Stegostoma tigrinum: one gene and its partners. The protein of the gene in region 3 purifies or fractionates together with the protein of the main gene of each other region. This does not show direct contact. Links are inferred from orthologs where the notes say so. Each region holds a gene or a part of one and is shown on either strand. Other genes may lie near its edges. The genes, in order: proline and serine-rich protein 2-like, cttnbp2, stk25b and cttnbp2nlb.

Evidence for each region.
Region 1: the proteins of stk25b (region 3) and proline and serine-rich protein 2-like purify together in Homo sapiens (affinity purification with mass spectrometry; 3 studies listed by BioGRID and IntAct, counting the BioPlex papers as one, with this or other methods). This does not show direct contact. The link is inferred for Stegostoma tigrinum from reciprocal best matches to the Homo sapiens genes STK25 and PROSER2.
Region 2: the proteins of stk25b (region 3) and cttnbp2 purify together in Homo sapiens (affinity purification with mass spectrometry; 3 studies listed by BioGRID and IntAct, with this or other methods). This does not show direct contact. The link is inferred for Stegostoma tigrinum from reciprocal best matches to the Homo sapiens genes STK25 and CTTNBP2.
Region 4: the proteins of stk25b (region 3) and cttnbp2nlb purify together in Homo sapiens (affinity purification with mass spectrometry; 6 studies listed by BioGRID and IntAct, counting the BioPlex papers as one, with this or other methods). This does not show direct contact. The link is inferred for Stegostoma tigrinum from reciprocal best matches to the Homo sapiens genes STK25 and CTTNBP2NL.

What each region holds. Positions count from the first base shown.
Region 1 is NC_081378.1:5,838,350-5,845,203, forward strand, and holds the start of proline and serine-rich protein 2-like, read right to left. Parts: upstream 3,016-6,854; 5' UTR 2,494-3,015; intron 1-2,493.
Region 2 is NC_081371.1:35,147,219-35,154,104, reverse strand, and holds the start of cttnbp2 (cortactin-binding protein 2), read left to right. Parts: upstream 1-3,883; 5' UTR 3,884-4,263; coding exon of another isoform or gene 4,264-4,339; intron 4,340-4,391; exon of another isoform or gene 4,392-4,642; 5' UTR 4,643-4,678; coding exon 4,679-4,861; intron 4,862-5,780; coding exon 5,781-5,888; intron 5,889-6,886. UniProt on the Homo sapiens protein: Regulates the dendritic spine distribution of CTTN/cortactin in hippocampal neurons, and thus controls dendritic spinogenesis and dendritic spine maintenance.
Region 3 is NC_081367.1:6,947,160-6,954,167, forward strand, and holds the start of stk25b (serine/threonine-protein kinase 25), read right to left. Parts: upstream 3,006-7,008; 5' UTR 2,845-3,005; coding exon 2,809-2,844; intron 1-2,808. UniProt on the Homo sapiens protein: Oxidant stress-activated serine/threonine kinase that may play a role in the response to environmental stress.
Region 4 is NC_081374.1:6,853,378-6,860,615, reverse strand, and holds the start of cttnbp2nlb (CTTNBP2 N-terminal like b), read right to left. Parts: upstream 3,010-7,238; 5' UTR 2,401-3,009; intron 163-2,400; 5' UTR 92-162; coding exon 54-91; intron 1-53. UniProt on the Homo sapiens protein: Regulates lamellipodial actin dynamics in a CTTN-dependent manner. Associates with core striatin-interacting phosphatase and kinase (STRIPAK) complex to form CTTNBP2NL-STRIPAK complexes.

The DNA of each region.
Region 1 (6,854 bases), on a different chromosome or scaffold from region 3:
ATTGTTAAGGTATGCTGAATACACTCTGACAAGATGTGTTATGGAGATAACAAGGTGTAGAACTGGATGAACACAGCAGGCCAAGCAGCATTAGAGGAGCAGGAAAGGCTGACGTTTCGGGCTGAGAACCTTCTTCAGAAATGACAAGATGTGTTAACTGGACACACCTTAAAAAGGTGCACAAACAAATCCGGCAAAGTGCTATTATACGGAACATCAATGTAATTCCCCTTTACGTGATTGAGCAAATGTACAGTAAGGTCCCCTAGTGCTTGGTAAAGTTGTGTCAACAGAATGCATTGACACAGAAAAATGCAGACTAATACTGACTTGTACATAATGCTGCAGTGATACAAAATAACTATATCGATAATCAACTCAGCACGTCAATATCAATCATGACACAGGGTAATGTTGATATTGGTACAGCAACATGGGTGCACTAATAGGGTACTCTGATTGAATCCAATTCCAGGCCTGCTTTGCTTCACAAACTCCCCTAACCCAGGAAAGAGCATACCATCCACGACCCAAGCTAAAATGCTTTTGTTGGAGCTATTTACTGCAGATGCTGGAATCTGCACTGAAAACAAAAAAAAATGCTGGAGAACACAGTGGGTCAGCAGCAACCATGCAGAGAAAGTAAGCTAACATCTCAAGTTTAGCTATTGCTCAGTTGGTGAACATCTTCTGAAGGTTGTGGGTTCAAGTCCCATTTCAGGTATCAAGTGAAAAAATCAACATGCAATTCCACTGCAAGAACTGAGGAAGCCCAGCACTGTCAGAGATACTGTCTTTCACTTGGAAACTGACTGCAGTGGTGACTTCCAACTTTCTGGCAACTGATTTTTCAACAAAATACACATGAAATTATTATTCCGTAATGCTGAGGAAGAAGACGACATTGGAAAGGGAAAGGTGTATAGGCAAACATAAGGGAAAGCTGTCCGCTGGGACCTCTCTCCATATTCTGTCAGCACAGTGTAAACTGCAAAGGAAGTGTCCAGGAATGATGTCCAACTCACCTGTACATTTCAAAGCTGCTGCCATATCTCTGAGTATAATCTTTAAAAAAATATATTATCCTCGCAGGTGGATATGAAGAAAAGAGCTCCGAAAGTACAATTTCAATAAGATAATGCTTGGGACTCCAGTCAATATCCATCCCTCAATCAACAATACAGAAACAGAAATACCTGGTCAGTATTGCTGTTTGAGGGAGCTTGCTGTTTGTAAAATCTGCTGCTGTCCTACTGACATTATAGCAGCAATTAAACTCCAAAAAGTATTCCCCTGGCCAAAGCGCGTTAGACATTCTGAGATGATGTTAGTCTGCATTGAAACAGTTTTCTTTCTGATGATTTACACATTAATTCACCACAATAGGGAATTTCTCAATTTGGCATTAAAGAGTTATGACCGACTGAATCTGTCATGATCTGTGCTGATTAATGTGTAAATATATTTAGTCATGTATTTTATAACAAAAATGTAAGCACACAGCAAACGGATGCACACAGCAAACGGATGCCTTGTGGCCCAGGATCATATAGTCGTACAGTTTTTAAGCATGGAAGAGTCCCTTCAGCCCATCATGTCCATGCTAATCATTAAACACTTTCTAATTTCATCCCATCTCCCAGCTCTTGGCCCATAGTAAGCTACAGGGTTTCAAATGATTATCTAAATAAGTTTTTAATTGTTGTGACAGTTCCTCACTCTATCATCCAGCAGTGAGTTTCAGATTTCCAATTCCATGAATAAAAACTTCCTTAAATCACCTTTAAACTTAATGCTCCTTACCCTAAATCCATGTTACTTAGCGAGTGACCCCTCTTCAGAGGGGAAAGGCTTCTTGCTATCTACTATGTCTATGCCTCTTGGAATTTTTTACACCTCATTCAGATCCCCCTCAGCTTCCTTCACTCTATGAAAAACAAGTGGAGCCTATTTTAGTCTCTCTTCAGAGCTGAATTGCTCCAGCCCAGACAACATCCTGGTGAATGAATCCCTTCTGTACCCCCTCCAGTGCTATTACATCTTTTTTAATAGTATGTGACCAGAAATGCACACAGTACTCCAGGTATGACCTAAATAATATCTGCACAGCTCCAGCATACCCACCTTGCTCTAGTATGCAATGCCTTGACTAACAAAGACAAGTATCCCAGCGCTTTCTTTACCACCTTACCTAGCTGTTCTACTGCTTTCAAGGGTCTGTGAACATGCACAGCATGGTCCCCTCTGATCCACCGTACTTTCAATGTGTCTGTCCTCCTTTGCTAGCCCTCTCAAAATGCATCAGCTCACACTTTAAATTCCATCTGAATTCCTCTCGCTTAAGAGAGACAGAATAAAACAGCATTACGGACCTTTGTTCTATTTGCCCCGAAAGACACGAAACAACATTAGCCAGAAATCTCTGGTGAGTCAGGTCGGAGTAAAGATCTGAAGAAGCAGTTACACACGAAAATTGAAACCCCAATGATTTACCTGAGTTGGCGCCGCAGCGGACAGAGACTCCCAGATGTAACAAACTGGGTGTTTATATCAGCGTCAATGTCTAAAACCTCATCTTCTTTTCCAGCCTGCCAGCTGTATCCTAACGCCCGCCTGCAAGTTCCTTCTTCGAGCTTTGACTTCACAGTCTCTGCCAGCGAGTTACTGATTAATTCTCGATTTAAAGACTCACATTTCTAGGCAACTGCCCGAGCGCAACAGCGCTCCAGCCTGTCAATCGTTTCCAATCAGTAGGAGGGAACAAGTCTTTGGAATTAAAGGGCGAGCTCAGTGCTAGATCTCTTTTCTGGGTTTTAACCACGCTTCTGCTTGCATTCTCTCGATCTTACTGGTGTTTTACTTTGAAAGGGGGTGAATTGGATTGAGGGTGGACACTGGGAAATGTGGATGCAACTTTGAAATGTACACATGACATCATTGTTGGACACTTTCCGTGCAGCTTACACGGGGTCAGAGTGTGGACAGAGAGGTCCCAGATGAGTAGCTGTGTCTCCTACTATTTCCTTCCCTTCCCTTGGCGCAATGTGATCACAATTTCACCTGATTTTCTTTTCTGGTTGAGAAAAATCATTTATCCGTTTTGTTGGAAAGTTGAAATGTTGCCACCTATTGTCAGCTGGTGACACTCAGAATTCAGAATATTCTGGGAGTCAGTCCCGATCGCCGGATTTAGGTGTTTTTTATATTTGGAACTTTTTTTTGTTATTTCTGTGGGACACGCCATTTAGGAACAGGAGGCCATTCTGCCTGCTCCGGCGATCACAGCTGATCTGGTTACTCTATGTTCTGGCCTGTCCCCCATTAAGTTGTCTGCTTACCGTGAATCAATCTAACACGGCTTTAAGAAAAAAATCAAGATCTCTTGCTTCCACTAACTTTCTAGGAAGCGAGCTCAAAAGACTCATGACCCCCTGAGAGATAAGAAATTTCGCCTCATTTCTGTCTGAGTTGTGTAACCCCTTATTTTAAACGGTAACCCTAGTTTTAGAATAACCCACATGAGTAACTAGATTGGGGGCCAGTTCAGAGGGCAGTTGAGAGTCATAGGAATATACAACACTGAAACAGACCCTTTGGTCCAACTCGTCCAGACCGACCAGATATGCTACATAAATCAGAACGCATATGCCAGCATTTGGCTCATAACCCTCTAAGCCGTTCCTATTAATGTACCCATCCAGATGCCTTTTAAATGTTGTAATCATACCAGCCTCCACCACTTCCTCTGGCAGCTCATTCTAACACGCACTACCCCCCTCAGGAAAACGTTGCCCCTTAGGCCAACTGCAATGCTGTGGGTTTAGATTCATAGACCAGCTAAGGAAGGCAGATTTCACTTCCTACAAGACATTAGTGAACCAGTTGGGGTTTTAAGACAATCAAAGATGGTGTTGTGATCAATAATATGAGACTAGCCATCAATTCCAGACTTTATTCTTTGAATTCAATTGTATTCCGCTAAGATACTGTTGAAAACTGACTTCTTTGACAAGATTTATGATCATCTACTCCAAAAACCTCCTTTATGTGGCTTGGTGTTATACGTTGATCTCATGAAGCACCTAGGGAGGTTTTGTCACTTTAACAGTGCCATTTGAATGCAAAGATGTTGTTATGAAGCAGTCTGTAAATAGCTGCATGCTGACCTTGGGGGATTGTATACCTCGTGTCCCAGGTCATTGTTGGAGTAAGTGTGCCAAGACCATCAAGTACCAAAGGGGTATAATGGCAGGTGTGGCCGCTGCAGTAAAATGCCTGTTGCCTAGTCTGTACAGCTTTCTCTCATCTTGTACCACTTCAGCAGTGAAATACTGTATTGGGGCACTTTCAAATCAACTCCCGTGCTAAACATTGTGTGCATTTAGCGGAGACCAGAAACTGTGCAGTTTGGAGGCACATTCCATTTGCCGTTCTGATGTCCGGTGGAAGTTGGTTTTGAAAGAACTTCCATTTCTACTCATTCCAATGCTGCAGAGATCCTGTAAATAATTTCACTGACAGACGCTTCTAGAAAAGCTATTGAGTGATGATGGGCCATTTTTTTGGAAATTTTTGAAACCAAAATTAATAATGACTAAATAAAAACTGTTTCTCAAAACACAATGTTGAACATTCATTCAAGTAAATGTGTCAAAAGAATTCAGGGGTGACCTGGATTGAAAATTTCAAAACTTTGATAAATTTTTTTTATCTGACCGATATATTTTTGCACGTAGATAGGGGGATAGAGTTAAGATGCGTGTCAGCTATGAATCGTGAAACAGGGTCATGGGGCTGAATGGCTTTCTGTCACTGCTAAGAAGGTGAATTTCATATTTTGTATTGGCATGAAATGTGCACAGCTATGTTACTGGTCAGCTTGACTTCCTTGCAATGGAGCAGTTATGACATTAAGCCCCCTAAAAGAGTTTATCTCTCTTGGTTGTAGCTCTATCCTTGGTACTCAGTAACACGGACAGACAGTAACTCAGTCTCCTAATCTCCAGAAGTTTGATTCTTCCAAATATCTCACCAAACCCAAAGATCAATCAAAACTTGAAGTTTATTGAATGCAGGGTTGGCATATTGTTGCAAACCTTTCCCTGCATTGGTTTATCTCTACTTTCCCCGTATCAATGTTGTTGCAGCAAAGGAGCTTGATGTTGCATACTGTATCAATCTGGGATCTATGCAGGCACACCGCCATGGCTCCCTGATTGAACCAGATTAATTGCCCCAATCAGGGAACTCAGATTCTATGAGGTTCTCCTGGCTGACCTCATTACAATCCCTACGCTGGCTAGTGGTGTTATCACTGGATTGTTAATCCAGGGACCCAGGAAATATCCCGGAGACCTGGGTTTGAATGGTAGATGGTGGAATTTGAATTTTAAGGAAAAATCTGGAATTAGGAGTCGGATAATGACCATAAAATCACTGCTGATTGTCAGGAAAACCCCCATCTGATTCACTAATGCCCTGTAGGGAAGGAAACTGCCATCCTTACTTGATCTGGCCTACATGTGACTCCAGACCCACGTGAATGTATTTTAAAAATCAAACTTGGTGAAAATTGACAGACTCACTTAATACAGCGCAGAATAAATTGAAAGCTGAGGATAGGAAATCAATTCAGGAATTCTACTGTGCTCCATGCCTCTGAGGAGAAATGTAAGTTTGTAAGGGGGCATTGAATGCGGTTGAGAATGATACCTAACCTGAACACTCTCACCTGGCCATATCAGAGGGTAGATGATGCTGCATCTGCCTCACAGAAGAGGCTAGTCACTAAGTACTGTAACCGGCTTGAGGTGGAACTGCAGACACATTGATTGCTCTTTCCATAGTAGTGAGGGTTAGCACTGAATTAGTTGATTCATTGATTGCTTTATTATTCTCACGTACTGAGATACAGTGAAGAGTGTTGTTTTATGTGCTATACAGGCTGATCGTACCATACAGAGTGCATCAGGGTAGCAGGACAGAGTGCAGAATACAGTGTCACAGCCACAGAGAAGGTGCAGGGAGAGAGAGAGAGAGAGAGAGAGAGAGAGAGAGATCAGAATTAATATTTGAGAGATCCATTCAAAAGTCTGATAACAGCAGGGAAGAAGCTGTTCTTGAATCTGTTCGTGCACTTACTCAAACTTTTATATCTTCTGCCTAATGGAAGAGGATTGAAGAGAATATAACTGAGGTGGCAGGGGTCGTTGATTATGTTGATTGCTTTTCCAAAGCAGCGGGGAGTATAGAAGGGAATGGAAGGAAGGCTGGTTTGTGTGATGGGCTGGGCTGTGGTCATGACTCTCTGCAATTTCTTGTGGTCTTGGGAAGAGCAGTTGCCATACTATGCTGTGACGCATCTGGATAGAATGCTGTCTATGGTGCATCTATAAAAATTGGTAACTGTACCATTACAGGTGGCACCTATCAGCCTGCAATCCAAAGATGCTCACCGTAATGACAGATACTGCATCCATTAAGGCGACATAGTGACCATTAGGAGTCCTCACATCACCTCCATGGCCTAGCTCTCCCTCTCAGCATTTCTTCACAGACAGAGATTTTTGGAAAATTGTTTTCGTTGGTTGAGAGTCTGCTGTGACCTCAAGAGTCCTCTCCAGGATTTGTAGCTGCTACAACAGTGAGTACAGGTTGGGGTGTACTCACTGTTGTGGAACCATTCAAACTTTCCTTCTTTTCTCTTCCATGTTGCTTCTTTGCTCAGTCTCAATAGGCATCTGTAGCACTCCTAAAGAAGCATATCCAAGCCTTACCATCGCTGGCCTGCAGTTTCTGCTGGCAGCAGACAGAGGTTGGTGGAGGATATGGAAAGGGCCTTCCTCAGAGAGCCT
Region 2 (6,886 bases), on a different chromosome or scaffold from region 3:
TGGGCCCTCTCCGAATCCCCCTCGTCAGAGGAGCTCTTATAGCCCCCCTGTAGCTGCCTCTTCCCGCCTGATGGTTGCGGTTTCTGGGCCCATCGACGCACCTTCCGCCTCGCTTTCCGGACTGTTGTCCACTCCCCTGGGTCGCCTGTCGCCGCCTCCATCGACTCCGGGTTGTCGGGGGGGAGCGGAGCCTGCAGGGGTGCTTTGCCGGCCTCGGGCCCACCCTGCGGGGCTGGGCCCACCCTGCGCGGCCTGGCCCTCCCGCTCATTAGTGGGGTCCTTGCTGGGCCCTGGTGCCTTCCTCTCCTCCGGGGGCGCTGGCCCCGCATTGCCCCTGCCAGCAACCTGGGCATAGGTGGTCCCCCGCTGCCGGCATGCCCTATAGAGGTGGCCCGCTTCCCCGCAAAGGTTGCAGCTTTTCTCTTGTGGGCAATCCTTTGCAAGGTGTCCCTCCTCCCTGCAGATGGTGGCTTTGCAGTCGGCCGCCACATGACCTGACCTACCACAGGCATGGCAGACTTTAGGTTGCCATGCATAGGTCAGGTAGCCCTTGCTCCCACCGATCGCGAAGCTGGACGGTGGGTGTACGACATTCCCGTCCGCACCCATCCTCAGCATCACCTTGACCTGCCTCTTACTCGTCCAGATGCCAAAGGGGTCCATGATGTCAGTTAGGTCCCCTTCCACCTTCACGTACCTTCCGAGGAAGGTCAGGACATCAACTGCTGGCACATGCGGGTTGTACATATGTACAGTCACCATACGGCTCCTCTGCGCTGGCATCACAAACAGCGGGACAGCAGGCAATACAGAGAGGGGGCCCTCACCTCCTTTCTCCTTGAAAACCTCCAGGAAGTGCTCGCAAAGCTTGGCACTCCTGAAGGTCACGTCGTATAAACCTCCTCCGGGGAAATCCTGCAGGCAGTAAATGTCCGCAGCAGCGAACCCGCAACAGTCCAACAGGACCCTCTTCACGAAGAAGGTGCAGTCCACAGGTGCACCTTCATCCACCTTCTTTACGGAAACACGGTTGGCGTTCCGGACCCCCTGACCTGGGGCACGAGCACTTGCCGCAGCCATCGTTGCAGGTTGGCTGCTCCCCTGAACCAGCGTTAGGCCGAAGCCAGCATTAAGATCCACTGGTTGCAAGGGTGCACAGCCAACCCGACGTCCTCCTTCCACCTCCAAGACAGCACTCTCCTCCTCTCAGTCCACAAGAGAGTGGTTCTTTATTTTGTTCCAGATATAAGCTGGTTCACTGAGCTTGAAGGTTTGTTCCCAGATGTTTTGTCACCATTCTAGGTAACATCATCTGTGAGCCTCCCACAAAGCACTAGTGTTATGTCCCACTTTCTATTTACCTGTTTAGGTTTCCTTGGGTTGCTGATGTCATTTCCTGCATTGGTGATGTCATTTACTGTTCCTTTTCTCAGAGGATGGTAGATTGGCTCCAAATCAACATGTTTGTTGATGGAGTTCCTGTTGGAATGCCATGCTTCTAGGAATTCTCGTGCGTGTCTCTGTTTGGCTTGTCCTAGGATGGATGTGTTGTCCCACTCAAAGTGGTGACCTTCCTCATCTGTATGTAAGGATACGAGTGATAGTGGGTCATGTCGTTTTGTGGCTAGTTGATGTTCATGTATCCTGGTGGCTAGCTTTCTGCCTGTTTGTCCAAATGTAGTGTTTGTCACAGTTCTTGCAAGGTATTTTTTTTTCGACATAACACCAGCGCTTCGTCGGAGGCTCACTGATGATGTCACCTAGAATGGTGACGAAATGTCTGAAAACTAACCTTTCAGCTCAGCGAGCAAACTCACATCCAGATAAATATAGCCTATTTTCTAAAGAATTAGAAGGTTAAGGATATCTGACTGAAGTCTTCAAGATATTAACGGGAAAAGACAAAGTAAACAAAGATAAACTATTTCCACTAGTTTGACATTGTAGAACTAGGGGGCACAGTTTGGGAATTACAGCCAGACCATTCAAGAGAGATTTTGGAGGCACTTCTATATACAAAGGGTCATGTTTGGAGCTCTCTTCTGGAAATGGCAATGGATGCAGGGTTAGTTGTTAATTTTAAGTCCAAGATTGATAGTTTTTTGTTCAGCAAAAGGCAGGAATACGGAGTTAGGTCACAGATCGGCCATGCTCTCACTGAATAGTGGAAGAATGGCCTACTGCTGTTCCTTTGTCAGAGATGTGGGATTTGGATTATATAGATAATCTGGGGACCTGACATCGTTTGTTATAAACAATTGCTCATCCCTTAAATTAAAGTAACTACATCATGTCATAGATACCCTACATTCCAAAAGGGACTGGAGGTTGGTGTGCAAAGAGGCAGTTTTACTGTTCCTGCATCTATAAGACATTCTTACAAAAGCACAGATATTTGACTTTTCTTCCTCAAGGTGCCCTCCAATTGTTCGGTTTCAGTTTCCACGTTTCTTAGAATTAAGCAATAAACTAAGCTTTGTGCAAGATTGCAGATTATTTCCTTAAAAAAAAGCTCATGAAATTGAAAGTAATTCCCATTCTTTGATCACTTGTGTACAAATAATGGCATTGAGATGGAAAGTGGCAAAGTTGTTCTTCGGAGTTTCAATTTATGCTTTTTGTGAAGAATGAAGATGATGCTGCGTGAGAAGTGACAGGAGATTTGCTTCAAGCAATTTTTTTCTGAATTATCTCCGGATTTTACCACATCCTATTTAACAGTAAGAAATCAAAATTATGATGTCGCCAAACTGCCTACTGTTTAGTAATTCCATTTTTAAAATTAATTTGATTAGAATTAATCCTAGTGCATATGCATTTGAAGTTTTTGCTGTATATAGATTATTTTAGCCCAGTTTGTGGTTACAGCATTTCCATCTTAATTTAATCAGGATATTTTTTCCAGCAATTTAGTAGGAAAGTGAATACTTTCCACTGACATTTAGCTACTTGTTTTCTGAAATGAACATTATTTTGTTCCACAAGGTTTAAACATTCTTCAGGTTCTTTGATGCTCTCCTTTAGTATTATACTCCAAATGGACACAAGATTTGCATTTTAATATGCAAAAAGTAACATATATTTTACCTGAGATAATATAGAATAGCTAAAAGCTATAAAAACTACTTTTGAGTTATCCTGCATGTGAGATTTCAGAAACTAAGTATTAGAAGCTCCATTGGATCCAGAAGATTCACACAGGAGATCTGTCTCTTTTTGCCTGGCATCAATCCACGCAGCTTCCTGCATGATGTGGGTCTTCATCCACTAAGGGTAAATTACTGATGGTGATGGGAGGCCCACTTATTGGCCTCAATAGGCCCAAAGACAGGGTAGACCGTCTGACACCTCCACATACCCGACATATCGCCCAGGTTAGGTGAAACAAGTAGGTCTTCCACCTTGAATCCTGCCAGCAAGGAAGATTGAAATCCAGCTAATTAACTCTGCTTTCTCTTAGAAATTCTGCCTGATCTGGTGACAGTAGTTCCAAAATTTTCTATTCACATTACAGACTGACAAAATTGAGTGTTTTGCTTTGGCTTTACAATCAACAGAAGTAAAAATTTTCCCCAAAAGTCTGCCTGACAGATTGATGCAGTTAATTACACTTACCTTCATTTTGACTAACGGCAAAGACCAAACAAATAAATTAAAAAAGCTTGAAAAAAATGGCAGTCTACTTTTTTCGACACCCGTTATCTGGTTCCCAATGCAACACAGGAGTTTCAAATTTATTAGAGAAAGGCAGGGACTTCAGATAAAGCGACGAATATTTTAACATTTCTCCTATCTCGTTATCAACCAACCAGCTTCCAAGTCACGATATCTTGTCAAGCAGGGTCTCCGTGACTCCTGTGCTGTTCTTACGATGATAGCAGTTATACAGATCAGTTACACCTCACTGTGAAATGGCTGCAGAAGCATTTTGCCACAGTCCGAGGTCTTGATTTTGGTTTGGAATATGTGAGCGTTCATGGACAGTGAAACTTCCGTGCCCGTGAGGCTTTGTTTATAAATTTTCTACACTAACTATGCAATGTTACGAGAAATGGGTCCATGTCAAAATTACCAGGCAAACGTGAGACTTGTTCACCGGGAGGTATTCAGATGAAAAATCATCAGCAAGAACAGCGGTGCTTCACACTGCACTGACCCCAGCCTTCAGAAGAGTTACCCTTCATGTGTCATTTAGTTTCGCCTCTCCAGTAATAAGTTGCTGGTTTGGTAGAGCCTCTGTGTGGCTATTTCATTGTCAGTTTGATGTTCAGCTCGGAATCTCTGGGTTTGGTTTATGCAGTCTCTCTTTTTCTCCATTGGTTGTACAGCCTCTCTCCAGGTTTGGTTTATGCAATCTCTCTTTTTCTCTCCTGGTTTTGTTTGTGCAATGTCTCTCTGCTTTGATTTGTACAGTCTCTCTCTCCTGGTTTAGTTTGTGCTGTTTCTCTTTGTAGATTTGATTTATGCAATCTCTCTATTGGTTTGGTTTGTACAGTCTCTTTCTGTCTGTAGATTTGGTTTGGTTTGTGCAATCTCTCTCTCTGCTTAGGTCTGTACAGTCTCTCCCTCCCTCTCTCCAGTTTGCTTTGTGCTGTTTCTTTTATAGGTTTGATTTATGCAGACTGTGTCTTTCTCTCGACAGGTTTCGTTTCTGCAGTTTCTCTCTCGGTTGCTGTGAATGGGCTCTGGTTTTTCTTTGCTGGTGGTCACTGCCCCCTGTCTGGTTGCTGGCGCTGAGTCTGTCTGTCTGTATTCCCCCCTCCCTCCCACCCCCTCACAAGGCAAAATGGCGACTGAGAGCGAGTTGAGGCCGGACAGCGGCGACCCCTCGTCTGAGGAACAAGCCCCCACTGTCTGCCAGGTAAAGTCCAGTGAGTGACCCGTACCGCGGAGTCAGCTTTATCAACGGCAATGTGTATTAAATAAATGAAGAAAAGCCCGCTCCTTTGTGAGAGGTTGAGTCTGGAATGTAGCCGCATAAACTCAGTGGATACAATGTATCCGTTCCCTGTGGAAGTTGATGCGGGAAGCGGCCACACGCTAAGAGGGGTTCAGCCTGGAAAATGTAACCGTGCAGTTCTTCTACCTCTTCATAAATTCCGTTCCCGTCGCTTTTCTTTTTCGTAACGTGTTTGAAAGCACGATTTGATTTGGGCTTTAGAATCGATTTACGTTTGGCGTTTTGCTCACACCGTTGCCGAGATTCTCATTTTCTTTGCTGGCTTTATAGTGGAACGTACTACATTCCGAAATTGAAATTCGATTGAAGGCATTTTTTTTCTGTTTGAAAACGAAAACCCACCCACACACCAAGGTTTTTGCCGGCCCGCAGCACTTTGTTTGCCCTGAACAAAACCCCGAGGGTTGCCTTCCTGCAGCTGAAATCTGAGCCCGTGTCTATATCATTTATCTTACTCAGTTCAATAAGGCAAAACTCGATTGTATCGAAGATATTATTTGTCTAAACTACATTTCCTTTCATATTATATCGCAATTGCTGTTTAATTGTAATTGATGAGAACATTCGGCTACCTTAAATCGTAAGAGCTGTAGGAGAATCGACTAGCCACCTTAAGGAATTGAGGGTTTTTTTTGTATTATCGTGTTTTATACAGTACGTAGAACAGTTGCACATTTGTTTATGGTCTTTTGATTTTTGTTTCAGTCAAACATTGTTAGAGGCGTAAATTATGTTTTGTGTTGTCATTCAGCTTAATGCTTAATACATTGGTGTGAGTCCTTATCCACTTAAATTGGAAGTAAATTTGTTACTGTTCCAGAAGTCTGAATTTGACCTGGAGAGTCTGAGTAAAACCGAGCTGCTGACTTTCCTAAGTATCCTTGAAGGAGAATTGGAAGCCAGAGATCTGGTGATCGAAACGTTAAGGGTAAGTGATAGACTTTCTTTTCTTAACTGTTTCTATTTCACCCTCCATTTATAGGATGGTGCAAATGTGTGATGCACACATTTCACACAGGCTTTCATTTCACTAAAGAACCAGATGCTGTTGGAATTTTCCAGCTACAAGTATTCAACTTGGCAAATAATTTGATAGGTATTAGCAATTTCAAAGACATCCTGTCTTACACTTACACTGTAAACGAATGCTGTCATCATTAGAGTTTGCAGCATTTCTGGTTGCTTTGCTGTACAGGTTGATGTCAGGCTTAAATACTTCATGAACGATTTGCCATTAAGCTGCCCTCCTACGAATTAGAAGTGCTGCACTGATGTGAACGAAGGAAAGCTCAAGGCTGTGGGTGGAAATGAATTATTTAAATTATTAGAACCAGTTGACAAAAGCTGTTAAAACTGCTGGGACGTTTGGTTTCATAAGTAGGGAGACAGTGTAAAATTGAAGTGGTAATGATGAGCCATTGGTTGGATTGCCATTAGAATGTTACTTCTGTTTTTGGAATCTAAATAAGGAAAAATGTCAAGATTATGGAATGGGTACAAAAGGGATTTATTAAAGTGATACCATTTTGTGGGAGATTTGTTACAAGAAGATAGTCACAGATTGTGATATTTTTTTTCTTAATGGTATATCTGTGAAGGTTAAGAGGCAACTTACTGGTGTTCCAAAGTGGGTTTAGGTAACTGTGTTTAAAAAATATCCAGATTGGTGACACACAAAGTTTAGTGCTTAAGTTTAAGATGCACACCAAAATGGAAATGATGGTTAGGTGATTTTCGTAGCTTGTGAAGGAACTCCAGTGTGTTATGCTTTCTATTGGGATGCTCTGTATTTATTAAAAAAAACTCTTGTTAGCATAATACTTTTAGTTTATGTTATACAATGAAAGCACAGCTGTGTAAGAAGCCACCATGACAATATTCGTGACCCACATTAAGCTTAAACTCCAAATGTAAGATAAATATAGT
Region 3 (7,008 bases):
GTGTCGAGTGACTTCTGATCCTGTAAAAAGGAAAACTAAACAACACACTTTTGATTATTATAACCTAAACTCTCAATCAGCTGAGTAGCTTGATTAAAGGGCATCAGCTCTTTACAACCAAAAGCACAAAATATCATTTAAAAAGGAAGGCAACTTTGAAGAGTTCTTAGAAAGGAAAAGTGATTCTCAGCTGCTGTTCTGATCCTGTTTTTATTTGTATTCTGAAGCAGTGCTGTCCACTAGCTATAAGTGGCCAATTGCGTATCCAAAGTGGTTAATTGCATTTCTGATCAGAAAATAGAAAACATGTTAGAAACTTAGATTCTGGCTGCAGGATTTCAAAACTCATGTGAGTGCAGCTCGCAACATATGTGAACACTAGCCTTTCTTAGAGGTTTCACTGGTAAAAACGCCAGGATTAAAGGCAGAATGTGCAAGTCCCTTCTTGATCGTTATTTGTTTCAATTCTTCGGTTACTGCTAATTGGTCATCTCCAAACAGCATCAAAGACGGATGAAAATGCCAAACCTCAGCACCATGGAAACACCAGCATTGTTGTCTAGGAACAATTGTCACAGTGGCCAATTTGACTGTTACAAGCCAGCGGAAGGAAGCCGTACAAAGAAAAGCAGCTCCAAGAGAACAAGCAAGGGCAGGTCTCCTACGCCCTGAGCAAGTCAAAATTCTGGGCAACCACACTGGCTATGTCAAAATATTGGTGCGTGACAGCTGGATAGAAAATTCAATGTTGTATCAGGATGTGGTGGGTCTGATAAGTTCTGTCCAGGATTTACAGCACTGGCCCCAGGATAGAACTGCAAAATTTACCATTGAATGAGGCTAAGTATTTGTGAAGAAATTTGTACAAGTTCATTTACCCACAATACAGGCAAGGCATTGTCTAATAAAATTCATGCATGTGGCTGAAAGAGCATTGCTAGAAAATCTGCATTAATGCAGCAATCTGTAATGGAAATGACTGCGCTGAAAGGAAGCAAACAATAAGCAAAGGGAAATATTCAAAAGCAATGTCCTTTGATGCACCTTATCCTGAAAAAGATATCTAGATGTTTAATTAGGCTATCCCAATTACAAGCGACTGCCATTAATGTCATCTCTTTCCATCCATGAAGATTAGGTACTGATGCCAGTAACTGTATCCGACTGTTTCAAAGGTCAGTGCAAACTACATCAGACAAGGTGCCGGATTTTAAAAAGATTAAATCACCTAACCACTGTTTTGTGATTCCTCACCCAAAGAAGATCTAATCATCACACTGTGACACAAGAAATATTTTGTTGCAAACTGCTGACACATGTGCATTTCTCCAAAGCATGTTGTCCACCTTTCCCATGGTTCACGATGAATCTATTGCCTTTTAACAAATTAGCTTTATGAGGTGCTCATTAAAAACACACTAGTTCTTGTTACAGTATTAGAATAAACATGTTGATTTGGCACATATTGGCCATTTCAAAAAACGTTGAAGGTTTTCCAATTGCTAATACCTTGTGGGACTATGCCACTCTACAAGACAGCAATCTATTTTTGTGCAGGGGAGTGAAGGGGCACTTTTGATTTTAATAACTCATGGTTGTTTGAAAAGGGCAGCGTCAATTGCCCTTGAGAAAATGATGTTGAGCCGTCCTCTTGAAGCGCTACTGCTCATGCAGAGATGCAGAGATACCCACAATGCTGTTAGGAAGGGGAGCTTAGGGTTTTGAAACAGCTGCAATGAAGGTTCCTGGTTTGAAAGCAGTCCTTTGCAAGTTGGTACAATGCATCTTCTAAACGGTTATACATTGTTGCCACTGTGCACGAAGAATACAGGGAGTGTATGTCTAAGATTATAGATAGAGTGACAATCTGCAGGCTGCTTTTTCCAGAATGATGTCAAGTTTGAGCCTTGTAGATGGAAGGTGGTGTTTAAAAAAAAAGTCATTTGCTAACAACACTCAACGTCTGACTGGCTTTGTTGCCACCTTACTTACACGGCCAGTCTTGTTGCATTTTTGATCACTGGTAAATATCGAAATATCTGTTGTGGGCCAGACATATGGAAAAGACAGGCTTCCATGTAAAAAAAAATTGAGTTTATAACTTATGTCAATATTGGGGATTCAACAGTGGCACTTGATACAATGAGAAGGTGGTTATATTGTTGCTTAATGTCATTGTTTGGGATATGTAGCACATATATTACTTGCCACTTACTAATCTCAGCCAAAACGTTGTCGAGGCCTGGCTGCATTTGGGCCATTTCAGTACCTGAGGAGTTGTAAATAGTGCTGGTCACTACGCAAACGTCCCCATTTCTGGCTTTTTGTGATGAAGTGAAGGTCACAGGCAAAGCAGCTGAAGCTGGTTGGGTCACTACCCTGTGGAACCTGTACAGAAATAGCCTGTGACCGGGAGGGTCGTCCTCCAACCACCGTGAGCATCCTCCTTTGTGTGGAGCGTGACTCCAACTGGCACAGATACATACTCAACCCCGAGGATGCCCATCAGTGTGGGTTTCACTGGGGCATCTTGATGTCACACAGTCAACACCAACTCACATGCCAATCAGAGACACCTTTGAGGCGGACGACAGGGTCAGTCCACCCAGAACACCTACCCCCAAGATCAACAAAATACATGGAATTGACGTTTTGGTCGTGGGCATTTCATTGACATGATAGAAATGGGGGAAACAAAGACACCTATGATATTTTAGATCAGAGGGTGGGAAGGAGAGAGAGAGAGAAAGAGAAAAGCCCAGGGCCAGCCACATTCTACAGAATGCCAGCAGCTGCCCCTGCTCCTACCTGGATACTGAAGTCTCGAATATGAGCCATTTCCATGGGAGTCGGTCAGACAGTGCTTAGAGGTCTCCAGCGGTGTGGGTTACAGTACAACCTCTAAAGGCAGGCCCAAGGGGACATTACCGCCGCCAAAGGCCGCCTGGATCCTCCGCAAACACCGATCAGCCCCTCACTGTTTGGGTCTCCAGATCGCCTGCTGCCCGCCCACAGCGCGCAGGCGCGGACGTGCCGCGGCGCACGCCGGGACCAGGAGTCCTGGAATCGGCCGCCACCGCCCCGCGCAGCACGGTGGGCACTACAAGCCCCGGCATGCCCCGCGTCGCGCCGGGGTTCCGGCCTGAGCCTTCAGGCCGGCTGGGCTGGCGTCACTCCGCACAGCCGCAGTGTCCACCTGTCAATCACCCTGACAGAGCCCCGCCCCGCAATGACACACGGCAATCTCAGCAGCAGACCAACAACAACAACTTGCAATTGCAGAGCACCTTCTTCTAACCCCGCATTAGAACATAGAACATAGACCATTACAGCACAGTACAGGCCCTTCGGCCCTCGTCGTTGTGCCGACCTGTCATACCGATCTCAAGCCCATCTAACCTACACTATTCCATGTACGTCCATATGCTTGTCCAATGATGACTTAAATGTACCTAAAGTTGGCGAATCTACTACCGTTGCAGGCAAAGCGTTCCATACCCTTACTACTCTCTGAGTAAAGAAACTACCTCTGACATCTGTCCTATATCTTTCACCCCTCAGTTTAAAGCTATGCCCCCTCGTGCTCGCCGCCACCATCCTAGGAAAAAGGCAGCGTTCTCAGACACCACTTTACACCCAAATCTTACAAAGTCAAGAAACAGAGCAAGGGCAGTACTCAGAGCTTTGTGGAAAAAAATGGCTAGATGTAGGAAATAGGAGCAGGATCATAGAACAGAAGGAGGCCATTCGGTCCATCGTGACTGCATGCACTGGCTCATTAAATGAGCTTCATTACCTAATGCCAAAGTCGTGCAATTTCCCCATATACTTGTCTCCAGCACACTTCCTGGCACTGCATTCCATACTGTGACTACTGGCTGCACCAAAATATTTTTGCTCACTTTTACAGATCACTTTAAATCTATGTCCTCTCTTCCTCATTCTTTTCTGTGTGGAAACAGCTGCTGGCCATCTATCCTAGCTAGCCTGCACATGATTTTGAGAACCTATATCAGATCTCTCCAAGGAGTCCCAAACTCTTCAATCTATCCTCACAACAGGGGTTCTTCATCCATAGAACCATTCTTGTAAACTTCTTTTATGCATTTACATCCTTCCAACTAATAATAGCACCCAGAACTGTCCGCAATACTCCAGCTGAGATCAATGGAGTATCTTACTCAAGTAGACCATTTGGTCCCTGCTCCTCCATTAAATAAAATCATGGCTGATTTATTTGTGTTTCGAATTCCACATCCCCACCTACTCCCAATACCCCCTCATTTCCTTGTTCATCAAGAATCCATTGACCTCTGCCTTATAAATATTTAATGGCGCAGAATCCACCATCATCTGAGGCAGAGTTTCAAAATTTCACAACTCTCTGAGAGAGAAAAAAAATTCCCCTCATTTCTGTCCCAACAGAGAAACGTCTAATTTTAAATCGGTGCACCCTAGTTCTGGACTCATCTTTGAGAGGAAATTTCATTCCCACATCCGCCCTGTTAAGATCTTTCAGAAGTAGGCAACCCAGAAGAAATACTAACTTCAGAGGGATCAAAGGGAACAAACAGAGATCCAAATCAGGCAGGACATACTGTGAACATTTTTGGGTGCTGCGCATGTAGAGGTACAGCAAACTTTTAATTAACCAGCACCTATGGGACCAGGTTATTCAAAGATTCCAGGTAATCAAGAGATACGCATAACCACAGTAAACTCTGGCCAAAGAAACTTCGAGACATTACATCCCTGAAAACATCATTGTAAAAACATCAACACATCTCCTAAAATCAAGCAAAACCACACAATATGCGATAGAAATGTAATGTGGGGGGAATACACATCACTGTTATACCTTATTTAAAGCATAAATATTCAGACATCTTGGTAAATCATGTTATTTGAGGGTTTTTTAATGCCAGTTTATCAAGAGTGCAGTGGTAAGATGGCAGTTAAAACTAAGTTTGCTGTATTTGAGCGAGTCCAGTGTTGCTTTACCAGAATACTACCTGAACTTCACGGGTTAAATTGTGAAGGGGTAGGTCTGACCCTGCTGCCAACTGATTTCCCTCTCATACCATCATGATTGTGATGATTTCGAAGCGACAGCATTATCTGGTAATAATGATATGCCAAAGATGTAAACGAGGCTTCCTGTCATATTTAAGAATCTCTATGCTCTCAGGGAGTTTTCATGATTTTGGTTTTGTTAAACATTTTGTTCACAAAGCATGGAAAAATGTATCTGACGCTAACTGAGAAATAGAAACATTAACTTAGACATTAAAAGTCAGTTGAAATGCTTTATTTAACAATTTTGAAACTCTATTTTTAAAATTTTGTTTCATGTATTTGTTTTTAAAAATCACAAAGGAAAACATAACATGACCATTCTTTAAAATTCTAGCCTTTCATTCAGCTTCATTTTTAATTACTCATTTTTGCAGTGTTGGCTTTAGAAAGAGTATTTTACCCATTATACACCACAGCCTTCACCAAACTGCTAATAACAGGCACTAAACTGGCAGAATGGTCGCAAAGTGGATCAGATGATGAGTGGCAAAAATACTCACTTTAAAAGCTCTTCCACCAGTATCCTTGTAAATGCCTCCCTTTTTAAAAAGCTAATTAACTCATTTTACATTTTGCCAATTATCTCAAGCAAAACCCATAAATCTTACAAGCACCGTGAATATACAGGAGGGGTGGAAAGCTGGACCTCCGAATGATTTCTGATCCAGTTCTTTAGTCCAGTCCTGACTTCCTGTCTTGTCTCTAACCTCCCCCTGTCCCAATTAAGTAGTATTTGGAGCCTCAACATCTTCCCACCAATCTGAGAATAACTCTTTCATACCAATTGTTTACCTCAATGCCTAAACAGTTTTTGTTCCATTCTGCAAATCTACACATCTTAATCTTAACTAATAAACTATTGCGTGGAACATTATCAAAAACCTTCTAAAAATCCACATATGCAACATCAATCAATCCTTCTCTATGCATCATCTTAGTGAATCTTTCAAAGATTTCTGTTACATTTGTTGAAATAGTCTTGCTTCACAAACCGTGTTGGCAGTCTGGAAAAAAAAACCTAATTTTTCTGCCTGGGATTTCAACAGCCTACTGGACTCAATATCGAGTTCAACAATTTTAGGGCTTGAACCACCTTTCCCAAGTCCTTACCCCAACCCCCACATACCAGGCCTTGTTAGCTGATAGTCTGCTATTACACACGACCCATCATTAGCCACTAATTGTCCATTAATACCTATTCATTCTCCCAGGCTACTTTCTGCATACAACCACCCTTTTCCAAGCTACGAGATAACAAGGTGTAGAGCCGGATGAACACAGCAGGCCAAGCAGCATCATAGGTCTAGGCCTGAAACGTCAGCTTCCTGCTCCTCTGATGCTCCTTGGCCTGATGTGTTCATCCAACTCTACACCTTGTTATCTCAGATTCTCCAGCATCTGCAGTTCCCACTGTCTCTGAAATGCTTTGCCAAACTGCCATCAGTTCTGAGGAAGGGTCACTGGACCCGAAACATTAACTCTGATTTCTTCTTGCATGCTGCCAGACCTGCTGAGGCTTTCCAGCAATTTCTGCTTTTGTTGGAAATTATCTTTATGTTTGCAAAGTGTTTACTTGCTCTGTCACTTTTAGGACTCGAAACTGAATTGGACATTGGACTTCTATGACTGAAAACAAGTAAGGTGTGCAACACAATGTTACTTTTTGGAAGTAAAAAGAGGACGAATTCAAGACAGAATGTTGCGAAGAATGTTTTGAGTCAAAAGTATCCAGACACTGCAGACAAATATATTCTCTGCTTCTCTCTCTCTTACTGTCTGCCTGTCTGTCTATGTCTGTCTCTCTCTGTCTCCATCTCTCTTTTTGTGAGGAAAAAGACAGAAAACCATGGGAAGCTTACAAGAAAGAATTCATAGAAGAAAAGACCTTGGCTCACATGATTAGCAACCAAATTAAAGGAAGGCTGTGACTGC
Region 4 (7,238 bases), on a different chromosome or scaffold from region 3:
TTTAATTAGACAGATCGAAATGGAATCAGGCAAGTTAGTGCAGCTGCATCTACCTGTACAACAATGGAGTCAAATTGGAGGAGTGCGACATGACCAACCATTCCAAAAACCGCAGACAGAGAAGGATGAGGGATAAAGTAAAGAACTGCAGATGCTGGAGATCTGAAACAAAAACAAAGTGCTGGAGAAATTCAGTGGACTTGGCAGCATGAATGATGATCTGTAGAGTGAAAAACACTGTCATTTTGCGTCTACTCACCCTTCATCAGAAATTAAAGTGGCTGGGAAAACAGAATATTTACGCCGAAAGAAAGAGACTACATGGAGATTAAGGAGTGTGTACCTTTGCCACAGTCACCACGGTGTCATTTGAGAGTTTGCAGAAGAGAAATATAGCTGGAACAGGTTTCGAAACTAGCTACTGGACAGCTGAAATGTCAGTAGAGAGGCAGTTACCAACAGTGAGACAGTTATAAACAGAGGGTGACTGACAGGATGAATTAATTCAAATCGCTCTCATTGTCAGGCTTAGTGGCCTCTTTCTGGAGAGTAGGATTCAACTACACAATTAGTGCCCACTGATTAGAGAGAACTATTACCACAAAAAGCTTAAAGTGTATTGAATAGAACAAAAAGACTGTTAATCATAACTTTGACTTCAAAAATTACTACATATGGCTAGACTTTCAACAACTGATCGTACTTTAAATGCAAATTCATAGGCTTGTTATAATAGTAGTGTGATAATAGCCATCTATTTATACAATGACAGCAAAGCACTACTTGCAATAACACAACAAATAAGCCCATGTGAATAATTGTATGGAGAACAGACCTTAGTCAATTAGAAAAAAATAGAAGAAATGAGTCAATGATTCAGAGTATGAACGAATTTTGAAATATAATCACAAATGGAATAGTGAATTATTTAAGAAATGGAAATAATTTGCTCTTAAAACAAGAGAATATACATTTTCTTTCGATAACTACCCTCTAAAATACCTGTAATGCAGTACAAAAACTGGTCATTTCACTTGTTACTTCCATTAAAATAGTTTGCCCCAAGCAGAGACATAGCTGCAAAACAGAGCTGTTTTCTTTAATTTATTTGGAATTAGTTTTGCTTTATTAAAACAATGGGAACTCTAAAATTCTACGGTAAATATAAAATACAACTTGTTCTTCCAAATTCAAATCAAGGAACTCAAATTTATAGATCATTTTTCATACTTGATCCAAAACTATCTCACATGGAATTAAGTACCTTTTGAGTATAACAGTGTTAAAACTTATCTTTTACATAATACTATTCATGGGCTCAAGACTTCTCAATGTAAATTATAGTCAACTTTTGAAGTATAGATGTAGTGCAGAAAACAGAACAGCCATTTTGCACACAGAAAGCTCCCACAGGCAACAATCGCTAACTGATGTTGCTCAGCAGTTTGGCTAAGTCATAAATATTGATCCAGGTTATTGTGCAGAACTCCTCAGCACTTTTTTTCCCCCAAATAGTACACATTGGGTCTTCAATGTTGACCCAAGATGATGGGACATTGGTTCAACATCTTCTCTGAAAGTAAGTGCTGCAAACTTCAACTTGAATTATAGGCTAAGTCTCTGTCTCATTGTTTAGGTACTGGTGAAAAAAAGAGTCATTGATTCACACACCATCAGGTCCCGGAAATGGCAATGAGGTAAATGCTCAGTTAGCTCATTCCCCTCAACAATGGGAGATGGGGAGTGAACTTCCCTGCCTGAGCTCAAACAAACCTTTCAGGGATTGATTCTGTCCTCAGGCTTTGCTTTATTTCTAGTGGAACAAGAACAAGATTTACTAAATAACTGCTGGAATGAAGCCTTATAACTCCAGCTGTGGTTTTAGTCATTTTGGCTTCTTAAAACAGTGGGAAAAAATATCAGTGCTGATTCCCTAATGGTGTAACTGCACCAAACACAAATTAAATAATGTTCAGGAACATACTAGAGCAGAAATTATGATTTCTTTGCTTCATTAAAGAAAAAGCACTTGGTCCTCAAGCTTTTTAATCTTTTTCCAGCGCAGATAAAATTAACATTTTAATCTTTGTCTAATTGTTGAGGCAGTGGATTTACAAAGTGCAAATCGGAAAGGAAGGTACACAACATTATAAGACTGTCTGAGGCAAATCCATCCATTTTGTTGCTCTGCATGAAAAGAAGCCCTGAAGTGACTGGGAAAAGAAAAAGGAATAAAAGAGAAACAAAAACAGTGGGAAAAATTAGAATAAAATTGAGGGGATAAAAAGAAAAAATAAAATCGTGAGAGAAAAAAAGACTCAGAAGCAAAAATCATCAAACACATAGCATAATCACGAAGAGAACTATGGAGCTAAGGCAGTTTTTTAAAAAAACACTTACATTTAATGCCCCTTTGCTCTCCGAAGCCGGTGGAAAATCTCAGATCTTTTTTTCTCTCTCACTTTTTTTTCCGCCCGCCTCTTTCGACCTCGGGACGTCATCGAGGTTGTCTGACAGCCGTTCTGTCCAATAGGTGGCTCGGATTGCTGCACTAGCGAGCCAATCATATGAGGTCTGGGGGCGGGTTAAGGCCGAGCCACGCCCCGCACGTTCCCGCCCGACCGTCGGCCTGCGAAGGTTTGCGCGTGCGCGGTGGTTTCCCCACAACCCTTTCCGGAAGGGGGCGGGCAGAGTGTGAGCTCCGCCCAAGAAGTGGTTCGGTTCTGAAGAAAGGCTGCCGGACCCGAAATTGTTAACTCTGATTGTTTTTCCTCACAGATGCTGCCTGACCTTCTGAGCTTTTCCGAAAACTTCTGTTTTTGTTCCTGATTTAAGCATCCGCAGTTCTTTTGGTTGCTAACTGTTTCCCCTTGTCCCAATCTCTACGCATGCGCACATGCGAGATCCGTCTCCAGATACATGGGCGGTGCTCGCCCTTACTCCGCCCCATTCCGCGTTTACCGCCGTTAATCAGATTCTACACATGCGTGACGGTGTGTCCGAACCCCCTCCCACTCTACTAGCGTGGCTCATTCGCCCGACACAAAAGTCAGTCAATAGTTACGCATGCGTAACTATGCGACCCGTCTTTCCGCCGCGGACTGGAGGGGCGTGGCTTTCTGCCACAACACACGTCAGTCAAACATCTCACATGCGCAGCTGTGACACGGCCGAACGCCCACCGGAGTACGCATGCGCATTATGTTCCGCCCGCGGGCCCCGCCTTCTGCCGAGGTCTGTGCATGTGATTATGTCGTGACTCCGCCTCCACCGGAGGCTTCCTTTGTTTCACCCGAGCTCCGCCCCCTGACGGGATTGGCAGGTTAAACGCCAGGGAAGGGGCGGGGCCTCATCCAGCAAACAGAAGCCGTGTTCTCTTCTGAAGTTTGCAACAAGTTGAATTGAGACGAAGTGTAGCGCTTTTCTTATACTTGGTATGTATGTGGTTGTAAATTTAAGTATTTTGTTTTTTGCATGATTGAGAAGGACATAGGAAAGTGTGAACTTTATTTGCAACGTGCATTAACAACTGTTTACATTTATCTACTATTTATCCACAAGCTCAGGGCGTCGCTGGCCAGGTCAGTATTTAATGCCCATCTTTCTGAAGAAGGGTTTAGACCCGAAACGTCAGCTTTCCTACTCCTCTGATGCTGTTCATCCAGCCCTACACCTTGTTGTCTCAGGTTCCCCAGCATCGGCAGCTCCTACTACACGTGAACTGGACGCGTTTTTTTTCCTGACCATTGACAACGGATTCATTATTAATTCAGATTTTCCTCCCCCCCCCCCCCCCCCCCATTGCATTCAAATTTCATCATCTGCCATGAACCCATGTGTCCAGAACATTAGTGATAATGGGAACTGCAGATGCTGGAGAATCCAAGGTAATAAAATGTGTGGCTGGATGAAGGGATGGGTGAGAGAAAGAACAGGTTAGGGGGGGGCAGAGACAGGTTGGACTGGTTTTGGGATGCAGTGGGTGGAGGGGAAGAGCTGGGCTGGTTTTGGGATGCGGTGAGGGAAGGGGAGATTTTGAAACTAGTGAAGTCCACATTGATACCATTGGGCTGCAGGGTTCCCAAGCGGAATATGAGTTGCTGTTCCTGCAACCCTCAGGTGGCATCATTATGGCACTGCAGGAGGCCCATGATGGACATGTCATCTAGAGAATGGGAGGGGGAGTGGAAATGGTTTGCGACTGGGATATTGTTTATTGCGAATGCTTGGTTTCCCCAATGTAGAGGAAGCCACACCGGGTACAGTGGATGCAGTATACCACATTGGCAGATGTGCAGGTGAACCTCTGCTTAATGTGGAATGCCATCTTGGGGCCTGGGATAGGGGTGAGGGAGGAGGTGTGGGGGCAAGTGTAGCATTTCCTGCGGTTGCAGGGGAAGGTGCCGGGTGTGGTGGGGTTGGAGGGCAGTGTGGAGCGAACAAGGGAGTCACGGAGAGAGTGGTCTCTCCGGAAAACAGACAAGGGTGGGGATGGAAAAATGTCTTGGGTGGTGGGGTCGGATTGTAGATGGCGGAAGTGTCAGAGGATGATGCGTTGTATCCGGAGGTTGGTGTGGTGGTGTGTGAGAACGAGGGGGATCCTCTTAGGGTGGTTGTGGCGGGTGCAGGGTGTGTGGGATGTGTTGCGGGAAATGCTGGAGACGCGGTCAAGGGCTTTCTCGACCACTGTGGGGGGGAAAGTTGCGGTCCTTGTAGAACTTGGACATCTGGGATGTGCGGGAGTGGAATGCCTCATCGTGGGAGCAGATGCGGTGGAGGAATTGGGAATAGGGGATGGAATTTTTGCAGGAGGGTGGATGGGAGGAGGTGTATTCTAGATAGCTGTGGGAGTTGGTGGGCTTAAAATGGACATCAGTTACAAGCTGGTTGCCTGAGATGGAGACTGAGAGGTCCAGGAAGGTGAGGGATGTGCTGGAGGTGGCCCAGGGTTCGGCTAGGTGGATGAGGGTGTCAGTAGAGGGGGACTGGTCTTCCCCTCCACCCACTGCATCCGAAAACCAGTCCAACCTGTCTCTGCCCCCCTAACCTGTTCTTCCTCTCACCCATCCCTTCCTCCCACCCCAAGCCGCACTTCCATCCCCTACTTAGTAACCTCATCCCACCTCCTTGACCTGTCCGTCTTCCCTGGACTGACCTATCCCCTCCCTACCTCCCCACCTATACTCTCCTCTCCACCTATCTTCTTTTCTCTCCATCTTCGGTCCACCTCCCCCTCTCTCCCTATTTATTCCAGAAACCTCACCCCATCCCCCTCTCTGATGAAGGGTCTAGGCCCGAAACATCAGCTTTTGTGCTCCTGAGATGCTGCTGGGCCTGCTGGGTTCGTAGTTAATCTGCTTTATCTTCATGGCAGGTTTGGCAGCATGAGTGTCTACAGGAAACTTCTGCTTCTGTCTGTTTCAGATCTCCAGGATTTGCTTTTCTTTGTTTTATGTAAGCATTGACTCATCAGGTAAAAAAATACCGTGCTGCAGGCAAAACGGACACCATGATGGCAGATCCATCGGGAGTAGTGGAAATGTGGAATTACAGATATAATCAGATCATCTGTGATGTTGTCAAATGGGGGAGCAGGCTTCAAGGGGCAAATGGCCTCGTCCTGGTTTGTTTGAGGTTAAATCCTGATTCGATGTCTGTTCAATACTCTTTGTCTCATTGTGAATCACATAATTGTTATTGTGCAGAAGGTTGTCATTTGCCCCATCCTGTAACTCTGGCTATCTAAGCGTTTTAACTTTATGCCAACGCCTCACCTTTTCGACATAACCCGACTCATTGTTCCTATTTAAATAATCATCTAATGCCCTTCTTGAATGTCTCAATTGAATCTGCCTCTACCACATTTCCAGACAGTACACTCCAGACCTAAACTACTCGCTGTGTGAAAAGGATTTTCCTCACCTCATGTTTATCTTTTGTGAAACACTTTAAAACTGAACCATCTGGTTCTTGAGTGGGAGTGTCATTTCCCAATCTGCCTTTCCAGATCTCTCATGAATTTTAATACTTTTACCAATTCTCCCCAATGAAAAGAGTTCCCATGTTTCCAGTCTTTTCTCATGACTGAGTATTTCATCTTGAGAACCATTCTTAATAAAAACCAAAAGAACTGCAGATCTTGTAAATCAAGACAAAAACAAAGTTGCTGGAAAGGCTCAGCAGGTCTGGCAGCATCAGTGAAGGAGAAAACAGAGTTAACGTGTCGGGTCTGGTGACCCTTCCTCAACTTTGGGTCACTGGACCCGAAACAATACCTCTGTTTTATCCTTCACAGATGCTGCCAGACCTGCTGAGCTTTTCCAGCAACTTTGTCTTTGTCTTTGTCTTTGTTCTTAAATTTCTTCCCCACTTCTCCAATGCATTCACATCCTTTCAATCATGTAACGTTCAGAACTACACAATATAGTATGCCAGCTAACGCCTAACCAGTGTCTTACAAATATTCATCATAGCCTTCATGTTTTTGTACTTTGTGCTCCTATGTATGAAGTCAAGAATAATGTGGGCTTTATTTACCACTCTCTATCTGTCCTACTTCTTTAGTGATCTAGGCACGTGTCCATTTGCTCCTGCGCACACTTCAGAAGTGTTCCTTTATTTCGTACTGTCTGTCCATGTTAGTTGAACTGACTGCATTACTTCACACCTTTCCGCATTGAGCTTCATCTGCTGCCTGTCTGCCCACTCCACCGTTTGCGAATGTCCTCTTGAAGTTCAGGCGTTCTTTTCTGGATTTCAATTTCACCAAGATTTGTTTTGTCCCCGAATGTTGAAATTGTCGCTTGCACATTTTGCTTGATTTTATGTAAAATCGGGGAAAAGCAAGGGTCCCAAAACTTTCAGCTGGGCAGCTATGCTGCCAGCCTTTATCTAGCCCAAAGAATATACATTATCCACTACCCTGTTTCCTATCAGCCAATTTTGTATCTGCTACTGCTGTTGCCCCTTATATTCCATTACCTACTTTCCTCATAACTCTATTGGTGTGGCATTGTATCAAAAACCTTTCTGGCCTCTTGTTCATTCATCCCTGATTTTAAGCATTCCATCACTGGCAGCCAGCCTTTGATTGCCAAAGCATTAACATCCAGAATTCCTTCCCTCCACCTCTGTGTCTGATTTTTCTGCTTTCAGGCCCTCATTTAAAATATATCTGTTTTGAGCAGCATTTTGGTTTCTGGTCCTAATAGCTGCTTTGGCTTGCTATCAAATTTATT